Linked DNA regions of Xenopus tropicalis. The protein of the gene in region 1 interacts with the protein of each later gene in a biochemical or structural test. Links are inferred from orthologs where the notes say so. Each region holds a gene or a part of one and is shown in the gene's direction. Other genes may lie near its edges.

Region 1 (4,411 bases):
ATTGCCCATATACCCGCCGGTTTAATTTGTAGGGGGGCATATCAGGAGTCACGATCCGCACATTTGGCAACCCTGCCATATGGCCACCTTTAGGATGGGTGTTGGGTGCAGACTGCACTAACATAGAGAGTAGACCAACTTTGAACCACATGGTGTTTTCTTTTGTTTCAAGTTATGTTTGGATCAGAAGAATGGCTGCTGATCTCATATAATACTTATGACTCATTTATTTTGATATGCAATTTACTCTCCCCTTTATTTAAAATATTTGCTGTGGTTTCTCCCTTTTGCTTGTGACATTTGTATTGTCATCCCTTTGTTGTTTACAGATCTCCACCTTACAAGCAAACTCCAAATGAAAGAAAATAAATGCCCTTATAACCATGTCCCAATATGCACTGCTTGTACCCTAGGCAATTTTGGGTGGGTTTTAGGCCTTTTCATTTTTGGGGGGGTAACTATGAGGAGCAGAAGGCTGTCAGTGTTATTAACAGTAAATAGGGAAGAAAGACAGTAAATCCCAGTGTTGGAATGAGGTGTGTGGGGTCCACCACCTCAACAGACGGTTTTTCTCCTATCGTTCCGCTCGTCCAGTCCCACCCTGGGAAATGGCTGTATTTTATGTCCCTAAAAGGGCAGCCACCTTCCATGATTTTTATGTTTTGTCTGGAAACTTTGGATATGGTTTGGATATGATTTTTATGTTTTGTCTGGTAACTTTGGATATGGTTTGGATATGATTTTTATGTTTTGTCTGGTAACTTTGGATATGGTTTGGATATGATTTTTATGTTTTGTCTGGTAACTTTGGATATGGTTTGGATATGATTTTTATGTTTTGTCTGGTAGCTTTGGATATGGTTAGCTTCTCTATGTTTTTGGTATGTATAACTTTATTTATAAAGCGCCACAAGGATACGCAGCACTGTACAATCTTACAATATACACAATTACCCACAGGTAGGGCAAGTGTTATAATAAATTTCAATAAATAAGTATAAATACACAGGGAGTAAGTGCCATGGGGTATGAGACACAGTAGGAAGGAGGTCCCTGCCCCGTAGAGCTTACAATCTAAGTGGTTGGGTAACATACAGGCACAAACTGGAAGGTAAGAGGCACCAGGTATGGGCATTTGCCCTTAAGTGCAGGACTGATCAAAATAAAGTTTTAGTGAAAAGGTAACTGGTATGGCAACTGGTATGGCTTCCTCCTTTGGCTTAATTATAGGGGGGGCTGTTTCTGGAAGCTTCTATCATGGCTCCTGCCCCCTCTATGAGACTAGGCCAATGAAGTCACTGGAAGGGATTTAGCCAATCCCGGGTACAATGCGGCCCAACCTCACCCTGACTCTCCTCAGAGTCAGACCCCTCCCCCCATGCGCGCCCCCGCCGCCACGTGCTCCCCAAGGCGGGCTTTTCCCTACAGTGGAAATAGCGGCGGGGGCGCGCACGCAGAGAGTGCGCCAAATCTTCCTTTCCGTACGTGCGCGCTCTCGTTCCACGTCCCGCGCCAGTTCAGGCTCTTTGTGAGGAGGAGGCAGCAGCGAGAGTACCGGGCACCGGGAGCGAACTGACAATGGCGGACGATAAGCCCAAGGTCCTGCTCCGGGCTGGGAGAGGGAAGGGTCGCATAGCGGGCTTGGGGCCGGGGGCAGTGGGTGCGGGGCAGGAGGAGGGAGAGGCCTAGGCGCTAAAGGGAGGGGGCAGCGGCCTGCGGGCTGTGCGGGGGCTCTGTGGGTACGGGAGGGGCCCGTAGGGAGACAGCCGGGAGAGGGACGCCCATACTAGCGGGGCTTGGTTATGGGAGGCTGCACTGCATTGGCCCACTAGGTTTATGGGGAAGGGAGCACAGGAACCAGGGAGCACTGGGGAAGGGAGCACTGGGGAAGGGAGCACTGGGGAAGGGAGCACTGGGGAAGGGAGCACAGGGGAAGGGAGCACTGGGGAAGGGAGCACAGGGGAAGGGAGCACTGGGGAAGGGAGCACAGGAACCAGGGAGCACTGGGGAAGGGAGCACTGGGGAAGGGAGCACAGGGGAAGGGAGCACAGGGGAAGGGAGCACAGGGGAAGGGAGCACAGGGGAAGGGAGCACAGGGGAAGGGAGCACAGGGGAAGGGAGCACAGGGGAAGGGAGCACAGGGGAAGGGAGCACTGGGGAAGGGAGCACTGGGGAAGGGAGCACTGGGGAAGGGAGCACTGGGGAAGGGAGCACTGGGGAAGGGAGCACTGGGGAAGGGAGCACTGGGGAAGGGAGCACTGGGGAAGGGAGCACTGGGGAAGGGAGCACTGGGGAAGGGAGCACAGGAACCAGGGAGCACAGGAACCAGGGAGCACTGGGGAAGGGAGCACAGGAGCCAGGGAGCACTGGGGAAGGGAGGACAGGAACCAGGGAGCACTGGGGAAGGGTATGTTGGGCACTGCCAGTATTGGGAGATGGGAAGTAAATGGGAATGGGCGACCTTGGCTATACTGGGAATAGGGATATTAGGGGGGCCTGAGCCCAGGTATGTTGTGGGGGAATATACTGGGGCTGGGAATTGGGAGGTTAGGGGGCCCTGAGCCCAGGTATGTTGGGGGGGGAATATACTGGGCCTGGGAATTGGCAGTTTAGGGGGCTCTGAGCCTAGGTATGTTGGGGACATATACTGGGGCTGGGAATAGGGAGGTTAGGGGGCCCTGAGCCCAGGTATGTTGGGGGGGAATATACTGGGGCTGGGAATTGGCAGCTTAGAGGGCCCTGAGCCCAGGTATGTTGGGGGCATATACTGGGAATTGGGAGCTTAGGGGGCCCTGAGCCCAGGTATGTTGGGGGCATATACTGGGGCTGTGAATTGGGAGCTTAGGGGGCCCTGAGCCCAGGTATGTTGGGGGCATATACTGGGAATTGGGAGCTTAGGGGGCCCTGAGCCCAGGTATGTTGGGGGCATATACTGGGAATTGGGAGCTTAGGGGGCCCTGAGCCCAGGTATGTTGGGGGCATATACTGGGAATTGGGAGCTTAGGGGGCCCTGAGCCCAGGTATGTTGGGGGCATATACTGGGGCTGTGAATTGGGAGCTTAGGGGGCCCTGAGCCCAGGTATGTTGGGGGCATATACTGGGGCTGTGAATTGGGAGCTTAGGGGGCCCTGAGCCCAGGTATGTTGGGGGCATATACTGGGGCTGGGAATTGGGAGCTTAGGGGGCCCTGAGCCCAGGTATGTTGGGGGCATATACTGGGGCTGGGAATTGGGAGCTTAGGGGGCCCTGAGCCCAGGTATGTTGGGGGCATTGACTTTAGGGAATGAGGTAACTTGGGGAGAGAGGAATTCAAGAATGTTGAGTGGGAAAAGATGTAGCCTCTGGCCAGTGAGAAGGGCAAGTATTATGGGAGAGCTTAATGGTGGGAAAATGGGTATGCAGGGCTCAGTGCCATTAAATAGAGTTAATACTGGCCAGAAGCCTAGGTTATGTTGGGGGCATTCCATGCAGAGTAAGGGGCATAAGGGTGAAGACACACTGAGCTACTAGCAGCAACTAATTTTTTACAGCTACAAAACACCAGAAAATCCCCTGCCTTAGACAGTATGGAGCGTTGCGAAAACAGAGAATTATCAGTAACTGATTGGCATTGAATATTTTAGTAGCTGTGACAAGTAGCTGCTACTACTGTGTGTCTTCGACCTAAGGAAGGAGAATTCTTAGTATGGAAGGAATTTTAGAATTGAGGAAGTAGTGTAGGTAATGGAGGAACACGTGTTAGAAGCAGGAAGGGTAAGGTGCATTAGGCACAGTGGAAAGAAAGTTCTGAGAACTTTTAAACTTGTATTAAGTCTTTAGATTCAGGGTCTGTGACACTGTGAAGCAGTACCATGTTATTCTGCATACTGGCCCTCAATGTGATATTGCTCTCTTAATCACTGGGACCTGTTAATTGGGGACCTAGAGACACAGGCAAGCGTACTGTAAGGCTAATATATACGATGAGGTTAGGGGCTAGACCAGCTTTTGTGAGTGTAGTTGTAAGTTAAATGCCTGTGCAGTCAGTAAACATTCCAGAACTGTAGCTCCCAGCAGTGACTGTTGTTCTAAAGGGAACATTTGGTGTATTTTGTGTAATGACATGCAGCCTTATAACTTCTGTGCTCCCCATCTTTCTTCTTGTGCGTTGTGAACACATTACCAAATGTAGCATGGTCCCCGGCCAGATCTAATATAACTAGAGTTCTTTTGTCATTTGGTGCCAAAGTATTCTCTAGAATGGGGTGCAAAGAGCTCATTTCTCACAACGGGATGAATAACCACAAGCGTTACCAGTGTTTCTGTGCCATGATGCCCCTTCCCAGCACTCATTCCACTTTTTACTTCTTTTAGGAAGGTGTTAAGACCGAGAACAACGACCACATCAACCTGAAAGTGGCTGGCCAGGATG
Region 2 (3,636 bases), on another chromosome or scaffold:
AAATAATTACAGTAACCAAATAGGAATATCAACCTCACAGTCGGCTGTTAGTTTGTGGGGGTCAGTGACCCCATGTAGGTTACCTACTGGGGCGTCCTGTATTTAACTTGCCCTTTAAACACAACCTCCTTTATATCATGGCTAATTAAGCAGCCATTGCATGAAGTTGTTATTACGGAGCATCGCTTGGGCAGGGAGCCTAATTACATTTAATATGTCCCTTCCCGCCATCCCTCATTGTCCTTCCTGTTCTGCAGGGCACATAATTAAATAATTACCCTCGTTTACTTTGGGCCGCTGTTTGTATTGCCAAGAAGTCACATGACTTTTAATGCCCATAAACTGATTTTAGTCACAGCTTCCGCTTGTGCTTTACCCTTTTCTTTATTTCTTTTCTATATTCACTATATACCCGAGTACAGTAAGGAACAATGCATGTTTATAAATATGTCCCATAGTATTCAGGCATGAATTAACCCTTTTATTATCAAACAAAGAGCAGACTGGCGCCCGTAGGCTGGCGCTCACTGCAGCGTGACGGCCAAGAACTGGTTTTACCTCGGGCCATTGTTCTAAAGGTTCCGGTTCTGCCGCTGGCGGTCACTTCACACCCAGCGAGTAATACCTGTACATCCTTAGGATTAAAGGATCATTTCTCAACACTGGGCAAACCCATGAAAGCCAATCAAACGCGTGCATTCATTTTTCTACCTGCAGCTGGCTGAAAAAAGCCAGTCTCTGATTGGTTGCTATGGGTAACTGCCCACGGGGCAAACTTGCCCAGTGTTACTAAATGAGCCCCAGTGAATTTATTGTGTGCACTGACAGCGGTATGTAACAGGTTAATCCTGCAGCCCATTTACTGACAGAAGCTCTGCAGGTACCAGAAGGCCGTTGGGCCCGAGCCCAAACTTTGTAGACTTAATGTCTCCTTCTCTTTCCAGGGTATCAGCTCGGAGCCCATCCACCTAAAGATATTCTCCCCGAATGTGGTCAACCTGACGCTCGTGGATTTGCCAGGAATGACAAAGGTAACGTGGGGGGAAGACAAGCCCCCATGTGTAATAAAAGGCGTTTCTCCAGTAGCAGTAACCCTAGCAACCAATAAGATGTTTGCTTTTAAACAGTAGTAAATTCTACTTGCTGATTGGTTGCTATAGGCAGTGCTGCCATCAGGGAGGCACAGGGGGCACAGTTGTCCCGGGCCCGGGCAACCTTCACTTTTAAAGGTACAGTTTTCTGACGGACCCTGTCATCTGTAATCCAATCCGATTGGTCGTGTCCCGTGCATGTGTGTGATGTCAGTATTAACGGGGGGGTAACCTTATAAACGGGCCGGTCCGCCGGAGCCACCGCCGCCATAGAAGATGCCAAAGAAGACGGTGTATGGGGGGCACTGTCTGCCGGGGGCAATTGGGGGCACTGTCTGCCGGGGGCAATTGGGGGCACTGTCTGCCGGGGGCAATTGGGGGCACTGTCTGCCGGGGGCAATTGGGGGCACTGTCTGCCGGCGGCAATTGGGGGCACTGTCTGCCGGGGGCAATTGGGGGCACTGTCTGCCGGGGGCAATTGGGGGCACTGTCTTTGGGGATCTGGCCAGCATAGTGTTAGGGGGGCCCTGATCCTTTTTATGTCTGTGTGTCCTTTGTACTGATGAGAGGGGCCATTGAGGCAGGAGCCCTGTGGGAGGGGGCCCTGTGATTTCTGATGGCGGCCCTGGCTATAGGTTACTGCTCCTGGGCAGTGCCTTTTATTACATAACCCCCCAAAGTGGCCCGGTACAGCACTGCACTCCTCAGGCGTTTGCTGGTGTTTAACGGAACAAGATTACCCTCTAGTGGCCAAAAGATGAACGTCCTTTGTGTGGCTTTTAATGCCTCCTACCTGGGCACGGGGGGAAGAGAGCAGCCCAGGAGCAGGAAGTAGAAAGATTCAGAGCTCTGGGGCAGAAATGGGACCCATTTCCATTCCAGTTGTCTTTACCCTGAAATTTATATCCATTATTATAACGTGGAGGTTTTTCTTCCCCAGGTACCTGTCGGCGACCAACCCAAAGACATCGAAATCCAGATCCGCGAGCTCATCCTGAGGTACATCAGCAACCCCAATTCCATTATCCTGGCAGTCACGGCTGCCAACACCGACATGGCAACTTCAGAGGCTCTTAAGATCGCGCGGGAAAGTGACCCTGACGGTAAGTCACCTCTTTTCTGGGTAGAAACCATGTGATCATGACCAGAAATGCTACTGGGTAATCCTAAATAGAAAATGACCATTTTAAGAATTAAGGGCCACCCCCTGGGGTGCTAGGGGCCACATCAGCCAATGTATGGGCAGAGTTCTGTTTTTTGCTTCCACACTTCAGCTGTTGGTTAAGTATTCATTTTGGGGGTATAGTTTCCCTTTAACACTGTCCGCCATAATGGCTTCCCTGGTCACATGTTCCTAAATTTTCCCCGATCCCATTTATCCAGGTCGCAGGACTCTCGCCGTCATAACCAAGCTGGACCTGATGGACGCAGGGACGGACGCTATGGATGTGCTTCTGGGACGGGTCATCCCGGTCAAACTTGGCATCATCGGAGTGGTCAACAGGTATCCAGATCCGTTACCTTTTTACCATATACAATGGCATGGTCGCAGCTTGGGCAGCACAGATCTAAAGGGTTATTGGGGGTCATTTATCAACACTAAGCACGATTACCCATGGGCAGTAACCCGTGGCAACCAATCAAATTGCTGCATTCATGGTTTTACCTGCAGCTGGCTGAAAAAAAAGAGAATTTCCGATTGGTTGCTATGGATTGCACCCCATATAATGAGAGCCAGTCGCCATTTATTTCTCGGAATGGGGCTGAGCTATTGGCTGGAGAAAGGCAATAGCTTCATATGGTGAGAACCCTAATTATTGATTTCTAATTCAAAGGAGCCAGTTGGACATTAATAACAAAAAGAGCGTGGCCGACTCTATCCGGGATGAGTACGGGTTCCTGCAGAAGAAATACCCCTCCCTGGCAAACAGGAACGGAACCAAATATCTTGCACGGACTCTTAACAGGTAACGCTTCCTTCCAAAATGGCCACCATTAGGTTAACTTTTAGTATATTACAGAATGGCCTCTTCTTAGCAAGTTTTCAATTGGTCTTTATTTTTCATTCTTTATAGTTTTTGAATTCTTTTCCTTCCTCTTCTGCCTCTTTCCTGCTCTCAAATGGGAGTCACTGACCCCGGCAGCCAAAAACCTATTCCTACAGTTTTATTGTCACTTATTTTATATTTAGGCCTTCCTCTATCCATATTCCCGTGTCTAATTCAAGCCACTGCCTGGTTGCTAGGTAAAATTGGACCCTAGCAACCTGATAGCTGCTTGAAATTCCAAACTGGAGAGCTGCTGAATAAAAAGCTAAATATTTCTAAAACGGCAAATAATAAAAAATGAAGACCAATTGCAGTTTGTCTTTAAAGGTGAACCACCCCTTTAATGCCTGCTCTGGGTAACAGCAATGGAATCTGGGAGGTATTACTCGGTACAACTATATGTTGGCAGCAAGAGGATAAAATGCCCCATATGTATATGCCGTGTCTGTAGGCTACTGATGCACCACATCCGCGACTGTCTGCCGGAGCTGAAGACC
Region 3 (3,636 bases), on another chromosome or scaffold:
CCAACCGTTCCCCTTTAATGGCAGCACATGATCATCCATAAATGTAAACCTGCACCTGTGCAAGCTGTAGTCCCAGTTGATGCTTTGAAATGCAGCTGTCCACACTTCCAGGAAACTGTTGCCTGATAAGTACTTGTAAATGCAGTTGCAGGTGACCCACTGTGCAAGCCAGTGCAGCAGATTTGGGCACTTGTTGTTACTCTTAAAATGGTTTTTAAAGCGGACCTGTCACCCTAAGAAATAAATCCAAATTATTTTCTATATTGTTAGTTGAGCAAAATAAACTTTACTTACTCTATATAAATAATATAAATCTTGCTTCCTTCCGTCTTGGAATTACTCAATGAAAGCAAGCAGGCAGGCACCATTTTGTGGACACTGTTATTAAGGCAAGCTTTGTATCATGCCAAAATCTTGTTTATGTGATAGAATGGGGGACCTGATGCCCAGGCCCATGCACTGGCTACACAATTAGATAAGGAGGAGGGAGGGGAGAAGTGAGATGTGCAGTGACATCTAGGAAGTGCTGAATGGAAAGCTAAAGTTACTTTCTGCCCCGCCTCTATGCCTAAGGCATAGAGGCGGGGCAAGCAATATATGATTGACAGCTGTGATTTTTAAATGCCTTTATAATGGGTTTGGATGTGTTAATATAAAAATGAATTTGGGTTTCATGTTTAATTTGAACAGGACTTTTATTATACAGATTTTCATGTCTGGGTGACAGGTCCACTTTAATAGTGCCCGAAGTACCACTTCCTAAGCTATATTATTTTTTTAATCAATGTAAGTTCTAATTCAATTGTAATTTCACCTAAAAGCTAAAATAAGTGTTTTACTGTTTAACATTTAACTTTTCTATTGCTTTCCCTTACACAGTGATTTTTTTGAACGTACTATCCTGTGCAACAGCCTTGTATGGAGCTGCTCCCTGACAGGCAAATCTGGCCTTACCTACCAAGAAGCACTTGAATCGGAGAAAAAAGTGAGACAGAGTCTGAAGACCTTCCCCGAGTCCTTAATCGTCCCTATCTTGTACCTCTCCACACTTGTGAGACGCCAGCGGGTGACAGATTTGTGTGAAGAAATATTTGCCTATGTGAAGGACAGATTCTTTGTTGATGAAACAGTGACTGTGGTGAGAAACAGTGGCGCAAGGTAAATTGAATAAGTCAGTGAAGCAGATCAGTACGTGTCTTTGTGAAAACAGCAGTGTCTGACATTTTCCTCTTGCAATGGCTGAGCCAGAAAAACAACTCTGTGCAAGGCTTAAGATAATGTATTCTATCATGACGTTGCACAGAAGAGGAAGTACAGTGAAACAATTAGTGTTATATTATTATTTATTTACTAATAACTAATGCTACATGGCAAGCTACACAATAACTCCTTGCTTGCATAGGAGGCTAGTCTTCCCAACTTGGCAGGCTTTCCTCAAGATTAATCTCTGTGGGAAAATTGGCCCAGGGGACACTTGTGTAAAAGTGTATTAAAACCTAGCTCAGATCATAATGCTTTTGGGCGATGGACAGGTGTTCTCAGAATAGAAGTGCTTTCTATCATGCTATATTATTTATATATTCTGGACTTTCGTTACCAGATCACCAGCCAATATCTGTACCTTAGCTTTTTTTTTACTATTATTATATAGAAGTATGGGTCCATTTTCCCGAAACCCGTAATCCAGAAAGGTCCAAATTACAGAAGACCATCTTCCATTGACTCTATTTCAAAATTTTTGTGTTTCATATTTATTTTTTCCTTTAATAACAAAACACTTCCTTGTACCCAACTAAGATTATTAAAGGGGTGGTTCACCTTCAAGTAAACTTTTAGTATGTTATAGAAACGTATTTTATTTTTCTATTCATGTCCTCTCCTATTCATATACCAGCCTCTCATTCAACCTGCACCCTGGTTGCTAATGTTATTTGGACCCTAGCAACCAGATAGCTACTGAAACTCCAAACTGAAGAGCTGCTAAACAAAAAGTGAAATGACTAAAACACTACAAATAAAAAAACATGAAGACCAATTGCAAATTGTCTCAGAATATTACACCCTACATCATACTAAAAATTGAACAACCCCTTTAAAGGAGAAGGAAAGACTAAGTCACTTGGGGGTGCCAAAATGTTAGGCACCCCCAAGTGACTTTAATCGCTTACCCCGGGCTGGTGCCCCTGTTAGTACCTTCAAGCACTTCCTTCTTCCTAGTTTCTTCTGCCGGCAAAATCCCTGGGCCGGCGCATGCGCAGTAGAGTGAAAAGCCGACTTCTTTGTTAAAGTTCGGCTTTTCACTCTACTGCGCAGGCGCGAACACGGAGGAGGAAGCAATCGCTGCAGGTACCCCGGGCTGGTGTTTTTTTTTTTCCTAACAGCGGCACCAGCCCCAGGGTAAAAGGTAAGCGCTTAAAATCACTTGGGGGTGCCTAACGTTTTGGCACCCCCAAATGACTTAGCCTTTCCTTCTCCTTTAATCCTTACTGGAGGCAAAACAATCCTATTGGGTTTAATTAACGTTTCAATTATTTTTTAGTAGATTTAAAATATGAAGATCCAGATTACGGAAAGACCTCTTATCCACAAAACCCCAGGTCCCAAGAATTCTGAATAACAGGTCCTATAACTGTACTTTAGTCCTGGGTATATAATAGAGCATACTTCAGTTATCTGATATAGAATAGAGCCTGATAAAATCCTTTACCCAGGTGTAAAATAAATACTATTGTTTCACAAATATATGTTGATTAAAAATATTTGCACTAATGAACCTGGGTAATAATAGCTTGAAATATCCATTAGTCTGTTTATACAAGCCAGAAATTCCACAATTCCAATAGTAAAAATGTTTGGTTTATTGCTGTAAGAACAAAAGAGGCATTAGGATTTTGCGGTAAAGTCTACCTTTGTAACTAAAAGCCAGTTTTAAAGCTTTTTGCATTTATTTCTGTTACACATGGCTAGAAAATAAAGGCTGAGCAAAGCATTGTCTGAATGCTATTACCAGTTCTTTCAGAAAACACTTTGCATGCACAGACATGTTTGAAATGATTCTGCTTAGTTTATTCAGCCTTTGTTTTTCAGGTTGGAGTGCAAAATCTTGGAAGTTAAACTCCCTCCTCAACAGAATGGAGTGGCTAATGGCCATGTTAGTAATGAAGATACTATTGTTATCAGTGATAGTGATGAGGAACCACCTAAAGAAATGCCACAGACTAGGTAAGTGAACTTCACACAGATTTAGAAAGATGTTATAATAAATTTGCACATGACTTTATCTGGATAGTAATTTTTTTTATAATATAAAAATACAAATTCAGGTTACATGATAGATCTGCTATGTTTGTTTAAGGTGCTACCATTTTCTTAAGCAAACCCGCATTACTGAATCGGCAATACTTAAAACGAGTAAGTTGAGTTAAAAAGCTCAGACATGTCCAGGGGGAAGAGGGAGAAAGGAGCAAGCTGTGTAGGCTTAAAGCTGAGAGAGGAAAGTCTGGCTCTGAAGCTTATGTGTAATAAATAGAAGCAAGGGAATGCAGTTTGTTTTCACAGAGGACTCAGAGCAGCAATACTGTAAAATGTTTTGCTGTATTTACATAGAACTTTCTGATAAAGCTTACTTAGTTTTAA
Region 4 (3,636 bases), on another chromosome or scaffold:
TTGCTCTTCCAATAAGTGATTTTCTTGTAAGTGTACAGTGCAACGCAGGATTGGCATTAGGCACAGTTTGCTGTTGGGAGGAAAGAGATATGGGCAAATTATATAAATACATTTTGTTTTCTGTTTGAGCTGCTGTCTTTTGTTCCTTTAAATACAAACTTGAATACTCTTTTTACTGTTGTCGTCTAAGATACAGAGTCATTGCTAGCAGGTTTTAGCAGGGCAAGAGCAAGTAATTTGCTTATCTGGTGTGCTGTCAATTCTTGAGGTTTACAAAATTTGTATTAAATCAAAATTTGTAGTTCTTAGAGTAACTAGAAATCATATAGTATAAGCTGTGTCTTGGAATACTGATCTAGATATATCAAATTAACTTTTAGTGCATCCTCAATGTATCAAGAAAATAACCTAAATCAAAGACATATGGGAAAGATAAGTGAAACTAATTTAAAGAACCAAAGCTTAACTAAAGGAATAGGATAGAACTTTTGAACATTGTTTTGGGCTTCTGCACCAATCCAAGGCAACCACAGCCCTTTAGCAGGTAAGATCTGTGCCCCCAGTAGCCCCCTATCATCTTTTCTGCTGATTCACTGCACATGTTCTGTGCTTCTGTCAGTTAGAGCTTAGTAATTCATTTAGATTCACTTTACATGGCAGCTCTGAAATCAGGGCAATTGCATCAGAATAGAATAATTATCCCTGTAGCATGAGCTTATATTACAGGCCAACCTCATTTTCTGTTTGATAATTTGCAAAGACTTAGCTTTTCAACAGCTGCTCGGATCACACGGACCATGTGCCCTGTCCCGGACAGTTCTAACAGAATCCAAGATGGGGATCTCCTGTGACTACTGTAAAGACCAGTACCATTACTACTACAGAGATGCTGAAACTTTTGGCTAGTGTAGTCAATTTAGTATTTAAGTTATGGCATTTTTAGGGTTTAGTTCTCCTTTAACAATTCTGCTGATTATTATTATTATTATCCTTTGTATAAATTCTGCAGTGCTGTACAGTAATTGAACATACAGGTTCCATAAAAAAAATACAATTAATAACAGGTACAAAAGGGTACAAAAATAAGTTCCATTCTTAGAACAAAATCTTAAATGCTGATGATCCAGCTCTAAATTATCAGCCTTTGTAGGAATGCAACAACTCCTGAATGTCTGTATTTTTCGATGCAATTGTAAGTAATGTTGCTGGTCCAGTTCACCTACCACTGTGCCTGACCTGATCATAGGCTTCTGGATACATTCTGGATAACTTTAAATCACAGTGCTGAAGCTACCCATCCTATGATATATATATATATATTTTTTTTTTCTTTAGAAAGTAACAGAAGGTCATCAGGATAAACTGGAAAAGCAGCACTGGGCTATGAACAAATTGCAAAAGCATCAAGAGCACATCCTTAGGTTTGCCACGTGGGCACTGGAAAGTGACAACAACATAGCCTTATTGCTTTCAAAGAAACTGGTAATATAACATATAGCGTTTAGCTTTGTCTTTCTGATTTTACTTAAGTATGCATCCTAAATTGTTGCATTTTTTTTGTCTGATCAATAGATACATTTTCAGTTGCATCGTGCTCTAAAAGTTATTGTAGATCCAGTTGAGCCTTTAGGTGATTTAAAGTTCCAGTGGGACTCTGATACCTGGACAAAGCATGCAGAGTTTTTTGGTAAGAAATGAAACATTTCCCTTTTTCTTATTCATAATGTTCAGTGAAGAGATAACTGATGTCTTGTGGCAAAGTTTCAAATAATAAATGCCTGCTTGTGTGATCCAAACAGCTTCTGTCTAAGAACATCCCACACAGTTGCCAGCAGTATCTGGCTGAGCGATCAGCATGGCTTCATCTTGCTTGCTTTTCATAGAGCCCTATCTCCTTACCAAAACTAATTGTCTGTGAAAAGAACAAGAACTGTTCTTCAGGCTTGGCCAGAAGGGCCCCACTGACTGGAGGCTGCCATTTTGTTTAATCAGTAACGCCTGTATAAATCTGAGCTATGTTTCTTCATGATCACTGAACCCGGTGACTGAAAACAGAGATTGTGGGTTTCAGTGTTTGAATTTAAGATTAACGTGGAAATTATAACAACCAGATTCTGTCATCAACTAAATAATATTGGACCATTGATGGCAACAGTATACATGTAGCCTTTAGTGATGAATCTATCCTGTTTTGCTTCACCATAAAATTGGCGTCAGTGGGCGCATTATCTTTATTTTATATTTATAACCGCAGTCTTATTTCCATTTTACAGGCAAAATTGTATGCGACAAAACAGGTGTTCCTCAGTCATCTTCTGGATCGTTGGCAGCCCAGTCTATAAATTCTGCGTCATCTCAGGTGCTGGCTTCTCTTACTAACTTTAATCCAATGGTACAGAATCGACCAAGGCTTGGTGCTTCCCAGATTCAAGCATCTCCAGCCAGAGCTGGTACAGCTGGTAACTTCATCCAGCCCATGCAGGTTTGGATTACAAGATGGGGATATTTAACAAAAACAAATTGAAAAAAAACATATCACGTTCATCCCATTAGAGACCCCCCCCCTTGGACTTTATTTAATGTAAATAGATATGTTCAACTAATGTAACTGATATAGGAATGTTCTGTAGTGGCCTTGAAAACCCCCTAATTACAGATCACTTTCACAGGTCCAAGTGTATGGATTTTGTGCCTTTGGTGTATGACTTGATATTTCAGCCTTGATTGGAAGGTGTGCACATGATTCAGTTATGAAGGAAGTTTTAACTTTTGAAGCTTCTGCTCCTTCCTCCTCTCATTGACTTTATGCAAACTGGAAGCACCAGACTGGCGGTTCTGTCCCTTAAACATGTATTAAGTTTGCATTACAGCCGTTAGGAGGCAGTTGTGTGGATTTAGGCCATTCTCTGATGGCACAAATATCCCATGTGCCTTCGTGCTAAATATAATATATAGGTACACAGTAGAAGACAATACTAGTGGTTTACAAAGATGGTATAGTGTGCAATGTTGACATGGCACTATGCCTAGTTCCCTGTAACTGCAACCCGCCCTATGTCGGCAAGAAATCAGAGCTCCATGTGCATTGAGATACACAGATGAAGTGCCTTCATTTCCCCCGTGGCTGCCTACAGAGTAGCATGTAATGCAGAAGCAAGCCACACTTGTAAGTAAGCTAACCCACTCCCTAATTCTGGTACTGGCATTCTGAGGTATTAAGTAGCCAGATAAGTTAAGACTTTCCCTTTGTAAATGGAGCTTTTAATCCCAAAGGTTTACCTGTTTGTATCCTTTTGGCCTCTGGCACACGGGGAGATTTTCACTGAAATTGTGGAAGTTTCCTCTCAAGGCAACTTGCGCAATTTCACTAAAATCACGCCGCCGCGTATGCCATCCCACTTGGATTTACATTTTCGCCGGTGGGATGGCATTTCGGGCAGATTAGTCGCCCGTGAACTGGGCGATTTGTCGCGGGTGACTAATCTCCCCGTGTGCCAGAGCCCTTAAGGTTTATGGCACACAGGGCATTTTGCCTGCCCCTGTATCCCAGCAAAGAACAGTGCGTACAAAACACTGCTATAGTGTCAGTACTGCCGATGGTAATTTGCCTCTTTTATCTTATAATGTTGCCTTGAT

The links. The genes of interacting proteins can lie anywhere in the genome.
Region 2: the proteins of sumo2 (region 1) and dnm1l form a complex in vitro, tested with the Homo sapiens proteins (2 studies listed by BioGRID, with this or other methods). The link is inferred for Xenopus tropicalis from reciprocal best matches to the Homo sapiens genes SUMO2 and DNM1L.
Region 3: the proteins of sumo2 (region 1) and baz1a form a complex in vitro, tested with the Homo sapiens proteins (2 studies listed by BioGRID). The link is inferred for Xenopus tropicalis from reciprocal best matches to the Homo sapiens genes SUMO2 and BAZ1A.
Region 4: the proteins of sumo2 (region 1) and trim28 form a complex in vitro, tested with the Homo sapiens proteins (2 studies listed by BioGRID). The link is inferred for Xenopus tropicalis from reciprocal best matches to the Homo sapiens genes SUMO2 and TRIM28.

What each region holds. Positions count from the first base shown.
Region 1 is NC_030686.2:44,410,833-44,415,243, forward strand, and holds the start of sumo2 (small ubiquitin-related modifier 2 precursor), read left to right. Parts: upstream 1-1,568; 5' UTR 1,569-1,578; coding exon 1,579-1,599; intron 1,600-2,309; exon of another isoform or gene 2,310-2,546; intron 2,547-2,893; exon of another isoform or gene 2,894-3,751; intron 3,752-4,353; coding exon 4,354-4,411. UniProt on the Homo sapiens protein: Ubiquitin-like protein that can be covalently attached to proteins as a monomer or as a lysine-linked polymer.
Region 2 is NC_030679.2:4,788,596-4,792,231, reverse strand, and holds part of dnm1l (dynamin-1-like protein), read left to right. Parts: intron 1-944; coding exon 945-1,031; intron 1,032-2,031; coding exon 2,032-2,194; intron 2,195-2,474; coding exon 2,475-2,595; intron 2,596-2,926; coding exon 2,927-3,058; intron 3,059-3,590; coding exon 3,591-3,636. UniProt on the Homo sapiens protein: Functions in mitochondrial and peroxisomal division.
Region 3 is NC_030684.2:109,375,419-109,379,054, reverse strand, and holds part of baz1a (bromodomain adjacent to zinc finger domain protein 1A), read left to right. Parts: intron 1-879; coding exon 880-1,158; intron 1,159-3,087; coding exon 3,088-3,222; intron 3,223-3,636. UniProt on the Homo sapiens protein: Regulatory subunit of the ATP-dependent ACF-1 and ACF-5 ISWI chromatin remodeling complexes, which form ordered nucleosome arrays on chromatin and slide edge- and center-positioned histone octamers away from their original location on the DNA template to facilitate access to DNA during DNA-templated processes such as DNA replication, transcription, and repair.
Region 4 is NC_030683.2:102,993,800-102,997,435, forward strand, and holds part of trim28 (transcription intermediary factor 1-beta), read left to right. Parts: intron 1-1,335; coding exon 1,336-1,482; intron 1,483-1,572; coding exon 1,573-1,687; intron 1,688-2,273; coding exon 2,274-2,359; intron 2,360-3,636. UniProt on the Homo sapiens protein: Nuclear corepressor for KRAB domain-containing zinc finger proteins (KRAB-ZFPs).